Bombyx mori: one gene and its partner. The protein of the gene in region 1 binds, or shares a complex with, the protein of each later gene. Links are inferred from orthologs where the notes say so. Each region holds a gene or a part of one and is shown on either strand. Other genes may lie near its edges.

Region 1 (4,198 bases):
GAGGTACGCGGTACAACCTTGAAAGGCTGTTTACAACATTCGTCGTGGTACATTTGCATGACTCAGAATGAACAATTAACGAGTTTCATATATTAATGGTTATGATAAAACGATATTTTTAATGTATTGTTTGCATAGAGAAATTAACGATTTGACCGTTCATCTAATGTTAAGAGAGCAATGACATCAGAATGTGATGGCATTTTCCACCTGGAGACTACAGGTTAACTCAGAATTCACATTATTTGACAAAGTGTAATTTATTTTGTTACTAAATAAACAAAACATTACATGCTTGCCCGTGTGCGTCTTTAAATCTATGGCATATTTCAAGTACACAAAATGAAAGATAGAATAATGCAGAAAAATAACACTTATGTATGGTATTTTTTTTACAAAATATTCACTTAATATAATAAATAGTTTTTTTACATACAATGTAAAAAATTATAGCATTTGATTACTAATTTACTCAATTCTATCTAAGTCATGATTGAACAACTTCTTCTTAAAGTGATTTAACAATCACATTTCGGATATACTCATATCCCAGTAGTAGAAACACATTTTATAAGGCAATAATAAGTCATAGTCATGAAAATTAGTCAATTTTGCAGGTTTGATTTTTATAAACAATGTTACTAGATCATGTGAGTCGGTCATAAAAATATATTTCAAATATACAGAGAAATATTTGTGTCTGCCAAAGGTTTGATAGCCAGCACACTTGAATCACTTAACACCAGATCTTTCTTCGACAGAGTTTTCCCATGTTAGATATTTGGCAAGTTTAAACTTTTCTGTTTATCTCCGGTTGGAAATTTTTGTATAATTAATATACAGGATGGTATGGATTGGCTAAATACTAAAATGAGCCACTCATTCTTTCTGTATTTTTAAAATAAAAAATTTGTCATTTGATTTTTGGAAGTTTATTGGCAAAGAATTAAAACCAATTTTAATAACTATAAGGCAATTTCTTCATAATTTTGAATTAACTACAGACAGCTTTTTAGCCTTAAAAGTTGGAATTGGTTGGTTTGTAATACTTCAGATATTATTACTACTCACCTTTCACCCCATTTTGGAACTCTGTTGGTTTTAGTCAGGAGCCGCTTTGTATAAAGACAACCGTCGCGAACTTGTCGGCTCCATGTATCTTCAGATAGGACGTGAGTACTGGGTGAAACATTAAATTAAGTTCATACAATTTACAGGCATAATACATAATATTTTGTTTCGGAATGTCAAAAAGAACATTGTTAAAGAGCATGACAATAAACTATATTTTTATAGGCTTTTATGAAGTAGTTAAGTTCATTTAAGTAAATTGTGATTTACTATATTAGCAGCTTATTTAAGCTCAAGTGCTGTTAAGTGTGGATCTCATAGACACCACATAGTGAGCTGTTCTACCATAAACCAAAACATAAGGTGGAATTCTCAGTAATGTAATAATTTCTAACTATTCCATCATTGAAAAGAATACAGGCATGGTTTGTGGCATGACTACTCCTATAGTGATGTTATCCAACCGTGCATGCATTCTTTAAGTAATATCTACTAACACTAAAAACTAGCTTGAAGAATCTTCTTTCAAATAATAACAAACAATTTTATTTATAGTGACTATACTGAAATTTTATTGAATTTAATAATCAATTTATTACAATAACAATTGACAATTACATAGAATTGGAAAAGAAATAACAATAAAGAAATAAAAAAGGAAGTTTTAATTGAATTTTTCTTCTAAAGAATCAATCACATAAAGCATTCAAAATCATACAATAATTATATCTGACATTCAAATGATATTTAAAGAACTTTTGTCTATCTGTAGTATGTTCTAAAAAAAAAATACTGACCGGTATTTGTCAGAGTAACAACAATACCGGTTTTAACTTCCTTGATGCACCTTTGTCTTTTTTCATAATGAAACATTTAAAAAAAAACTTTAAAAAATATTTGCTAAACACATTTTAACTAACCTCTGCGGATTTGGGTATCTCCTCCAGTAACCACGCGCAACTTGATCCCAACTGAAGTTAAAGACCGAAGTATTTTCGAAATATCTCGTCATTTTACTGTTTAGACTTCAATGCTTTTTACTTCAATTATATTTGGTCTTCATTCCAAAACAGAAGGAAAACGTCTTATCTTTTCAATACATCTATAGAATAAATGATAAATTACAATGTGTTATTCGTAAACTTTGTCAAGTATCGTATTACATAAATCAAAACTAGGTCAATAGTTAAAATACGAAGTGTTCGGTGATCGGCGCCTGACCCTGGCCGCTAAGGCTTTGTGATGATTGTCACGTACATTATCGATGGGTTGCACAGATGTAAACACCAATACCGCTCAAAAACAAATATTCGAAAAAAATCTTTTGCACTAATAATATTTGAACTCACAAATAATTACATAAACCGATAACTAAGATGTCTGTCTGTCTGAAGTCCTAGCATGGATACTATTAGTAAATAGTGTGTTTTTAACATACTTTGCTAAGTAATATATGAAGTTACTTAGAAACGCACCTGAATGCCGGTTTTTTCCTTCGAAATTTAATCCGGGTGTAACGTGAAATCACCTTCGCGAACTTCAACGTCTATATATAAAGAGCAAAGTGCAACATAGTGTTAGAGCACGTGTTATCATTCATATTTTCAGGTGTTTTCGATAAAATTCTGATTACTGACAGATAATTCGAGAGTCCATTGGTGTTTGCTTACATAGATTATACACTAAATGTTTGCTTACATATTATTGTATAATCTGTGGCTGATAATAAATAGCATAGAGAATATTTGAGAGTCTGTTGCTTATGATCTACACTCAAAGGAAAAAGGGCGGGAACGTCAAAATAAATAGGCGCTTTTTTCAAGTTAATTTTAATTTATTTGGTTTTAGCCCTTTTTTACGACATTGTCTCTTAATTTTTCACTGTGTTAGAGTTTAAAATTATATTCCATAAGTGTGTTCCGTATTAATGGACGATGACGACAGGGGTGAGGGCTTCAGCTCCGCCCCTGTGTCCGCTCCCAAAATAATGGGAAAACGAAGATTGACCTCATCTGAATACGACGAAAGCCGCAAAATAAAAATGACTTTCATTAAAAATAAGCGCGGTCTTTTTAAAGACCACCATGCTCTTTATGAAGACCTTACAAAAAAAGAATACCCAGTGCTTCTTCAGTCAAGCCTCTCGCAACCAAATAACAGAGTCCCAATGGATCTGTTAAGAATAAACAAATCTTTAAAAAATGTTCAAGGGGTACAGTATGTCAAAGCTGCTGGAAACTTTTTGCTAAAGTTTACTTTGGCTGTGCTCGGGATGCCAACGCTTTTTTATTAGATGTAAGCTTTATGGAGTTAAACAATTGGACAGCAAAAATACCTTACGATAGCATTGAGAGTCAAGGAATTATTCGAGCTCCTGTGGAATTAGATGAAGAATCTCTTTTAGTAAATTTAAAAGCTTCATGCACAATACTCGGAGTAAAAAGATTTTTCAAAAAACAAGAGAATGGAAGTGACAAGCCACTGCAAACTGTGCTGGTTACATTTTTGGCGTCTAGCCATCCTGATCACGTCACATACGAGCATATTTGGATGCCTGTTTCGGATTATATTAGACCTGTGTTACAGTGCTTCAAATGCTACAAATTCGGACATGGAAGTGGTGCCTGTAAAGCCACTCAAGTTTGCTCTATTTGTTCAGGCAATCATTTTTATAAGGAGTGCAGCACTCCCAACATCTTCAAGTGCTCCAACTGCAGTGGACCACATTCTGCAGTTTCTTACTCTTGCTCAGTAAAGGCAGCCAAGGTTGCTGAAGTTAAAAATAAGATCATCGGCAAGCAAACATCATATGCAGCCATACTAAAGACTCCTGTTATTAAGAACCCCGTGACCTCTTCTGACATACCTATATCTGCGAAGACCCCTCAAGGTAGGGCTTTAATTTCAGACATTATAAATTCAGAAATTGTCATCAGAACCATTACAAAAACTTTAATAGAATTGTTAAAGAAAAAGGATTCTAAATCCCCTTCTGGACCTATATCTACTCAATTAATTAAAGAAATGCTAGTAACGAATTTTACATCATAAATTATGGATAGTTCTACTCAATCTTATATGCATAATTCTGTTGGTCAGTTTAATATCATTCATTGGAACTCTAGAA
Region 2 (2,836 bases), on another chromosome or scaffold:
ACATAATCTTATTTTACAAAGTAAAAATGTAATAATAATAATAATAAGATTTACGCATTTGAAAATATCTAAGCTGATAGTCAAAAATCAGGTATTTTTATAAAAAACAATTAAATGCAAATATCTTTAAATCGGTTAGATTTAGGATGTGTTTCATAGTCAAATCAATCAGAAACTATATAAACTACATGCCCTTAACGGAAATCGGTCGACTTAACATGTAACCTTAAATACATTTGAATATTTGCATACATAGATAATAGACACCCAGACAAAGAAACGAACCTGTTCATCACACGAATGTTTTCCTGATATGAGAATTGAACCCACAACCCTTGGTTCAACAGTCAGGGGTTTACTAATGCATCCTAACAAAATTGTGTATTTCACTCAGCAACTGAAACTTGTTTTTTTTTGTACACTGCATAGTATATAATATGTCGAATGGAGTAAATATTGAACTATTTCATCAGTGGTATTAAAAAAATTAGACTTAAAAGTTTTAATCCATCGATTATACATTTATTTCTATTCACTAATTTTCATCATTCACACAAGAAACTTCATAAGTTTTAACACATTCATTTTCCTCTTTCACTGTAAGCCTATTATCACTGAAATCTTGGTAACTGCATGGAATCTTAAGAAACTTGCCAAGGATATTGCAACAGGCTGTGGGTTTAAAGACACAGACCAATTTGGGTTGTCAGCTACTATTTGCATTTGGTGGTGTTTTGTATTCATTTTCAGTGCCTAAGATATCCTTATCTATTTCTTTGAAATCAATGCTTTGCTGTTTCATTGCATTCTGAAATTAATGTACACTATTAGCATAGATATATGAGTGCAGTTTCATATTTCATAGATTCAATAAATATTGGATTATTATGTTTGAATTATGATTTAATTTGGAATGAACTATATGAACCTTGTTAGGTTCAGAAGAATTATGTTCTGAATTATCAATCTTTCACTTGAAACTCTAACGTTAATTTTTTTTCTTTGAAGATAAGATAAACAAAATGTGTACCTTAACACATTCTTGATAAATTTTAAATATTCCAGCGCAAACAGAATCATCTTGATCGCCTTTTAAGAACCTTTCCGAGAACCAAGTATTGAAACAATCATCGTATTTTTTCTTTAGGTCTGTACATTCTTCGCCAATGCTGTTCATTTTTTATTAAATCTTTTGGAGATCAATTAAGTAAATTCTGCCGCAAAGTTTAAAATTAAAACGTTATCCCCAATTAATTTCGTTTACAATCGATGTTTCTTTCAGATTTGGTAGTGGACACCAAAATCAAATAATGTGTACAATTTATGATCAGACGGGCACATTGGAAGTGTCACAGAACTCTATTTTAGCGAAGGGAAGTGTTCTATGCATTATCTATAAATTGTATTTTTTTAAGGGATTTTATGACCTGGTAACTAAGACCCTTAAGTCATGTTCTATTTTAATTTATATTCTAGCCCTTTTCTTGACTTTGTATCTGTGGAGATACATCAGAATTAAAAAATTCTAGTGCCGTTATTTTTTAGCGCAATCTTAATAATTTTTGTATGCGTGTTTATGGTATTAAACCATCTTTAAATGTGAGACAAGTGGATAGTGATGTAATTGTTTCTGAGGAATCATTGGAGCTTGTTGAGTCAACCGTATTTCTTGGTATAACAGTGGACTCCAAACTGCAATGGGGACCTCATATTCATAAATTGGCGAGTAAGCTCAGCTCTGCAGCATACGCAGTAAAAAAATTAGAATGTTAACAAACGCGGACACGGCTCGTTTAGTTTACTTTAGTTACTTCCAGTGTCATGTCCTATGGCATTTTGCTATGGGGCAATGCGGCCGATGTAGAAATGATATTTATTCTGCAGAAAAGAGCTATACGTGCTATTTATAACATGCACTCAAGGGAATCCCTGAGGGAGAAATTTAAAGAAATTAAAGTTCTCACTATGCCATCCCAGTACATTTTTGAAAATTTGATGTATGTTCGTAAACATATTGAGGAGTTTCCTAAAAAGTCTGACATACATAATAGAAATACTAGGAACAAACACAAGCTTGTTGTGCCGATGAGTAGGTTACATAAGATACGAAACTCATTCGGGTGTTTGTCTGTGCGCCTGTACAACAAAATCCCACAAGATGTTCAGAACCTACACATACATAGGTTTAAGAAAACTATTAAAGAACATCTGTGCAATAAAGCTTACTATAAAGTCAATGATTATCTAGAAGATTGCACAAAGTGGGAATGAGTTGCTCGCTCCGGGCATTTCAATATCGTAGTAATTGTTACGTTATAATACTCATTGTAAAAAATTCATATTTAAAAAATAATAATCTAATAAAAAAAAATAAAAAAAGACATGCCCGCTGAGTTTCTTGCCAATTCTGCTCAGGACGGAGGCTAGTTCTTGTGAATTGGCGGTAGTTCTTTTGACGTTCAACAAGTATGTACTTTCATTTATGTTGAATAAAAATTTTTTGATTTGATTTGATTTGATTTGATATGGGCTCAGTGAATTTGGCCCCTCTTTTTTTGTTTTTCGGATTTTTTTTATTAATAATTATTTGTTCGACATTTGTTCATTAGTGTTCGAATGTAAAAATCTTGTGTTACTTAGCAATACAATTCTCTGATTCGTCTGCTTATTAGATATAAAATGATTAATAATTGGGAATTTAATTGTTTTTATGATCGAACAATCACCGATAGTCATCGAACAAACGCTAATTGATCAACATTAATTAATCTGAGCGGTAAAAATAAAGATATCTAGTAAAAGAGGCAAACTTAAGGGTGATCATTTGTTTAATTAA

The links. Proteins that work in one complex are often made in the same cells at the same time.
Region 2: the proteins of protein preli-like (region 1) and TP53-regulated inhibitor of apoptosis 1 are in contact, whole or in part, in a crystal structure (PDB 6I3V), measured with the Homo sapiens proteins. The link is inferred for Bombyx mori from reciprocal best matches to the Homo sapiens genes PRELID1 and TRIAP1. Residues at the interface, in NP_037369.1 of Homo sapiens: Trp15, Asp16, Phe19, Ala20, Trp23, Gln24, Tyr26, Pro27, Val34, Leu35, Thr36, Glu37, Asp38, Ile39, Val40, His41, Arg42, Val44, Gln48, Lys49, Leu50, Leu51, Ser52, Arg53, Leu55, Thr57, Tyr79, Leu81, Asp83, Ser84; in NP_057483.1 of Homo sapiens: Met1, Asn2, Ser3, Val4, Lys12, Tyr15, Asp16, Phe19, Asn20, Trp22, Phe23, Phe27, Leu28, Gly30, Asp31, Ser32, Phe41, Tyr44, Gln45, Val48, Gln49, Ile52, Ile57, Pro58, Ile59, Leu62, Glu63, Phe64, Met65, Gly66.

What each region holds. Positions count from the first base shown.
Region 1 is NC_085131.1:12,968,452-12,972,649, reverse strand, and holds the start of protein preli-like, read right to left. Parts: upstream 2,801-4,198; 5' UTR 2,547-2,800; exon of another isoform or gene 2,329-2,546; intron 2,174-2,328; 5' UTR 2,084-2,173; coding exon 1,992-2,083; intron 1,180-1,991; coding exon 1,072-1,179; intron 1-1,071. UniProt on the Homo sapiens protein: Involved in the modulation of the mitochondrial apoptotic pathway by ensuring the accumulation of cardiolipin (CL) in mitochondrial membranes.
Region 2 is NC_085114.1:6,725,069-6,727,904, forward strand, and holds TP53-regulated inhibitor of apoptosis 1, read right to left. Parts: upstream 1,384-2,836; 5' UTR 1,178-1,383; coding exon 1,031-1,177; intron 809-1,030; coding exon 707-808; 3' UTR 501-706; downstream 1-500. UniProt on the Homo sapiens protein: Involved in the modulation of the mitochondrial apoptotic pathway by ensuring the accumulation of cardiolipin (CL) in mitochondrial membranes.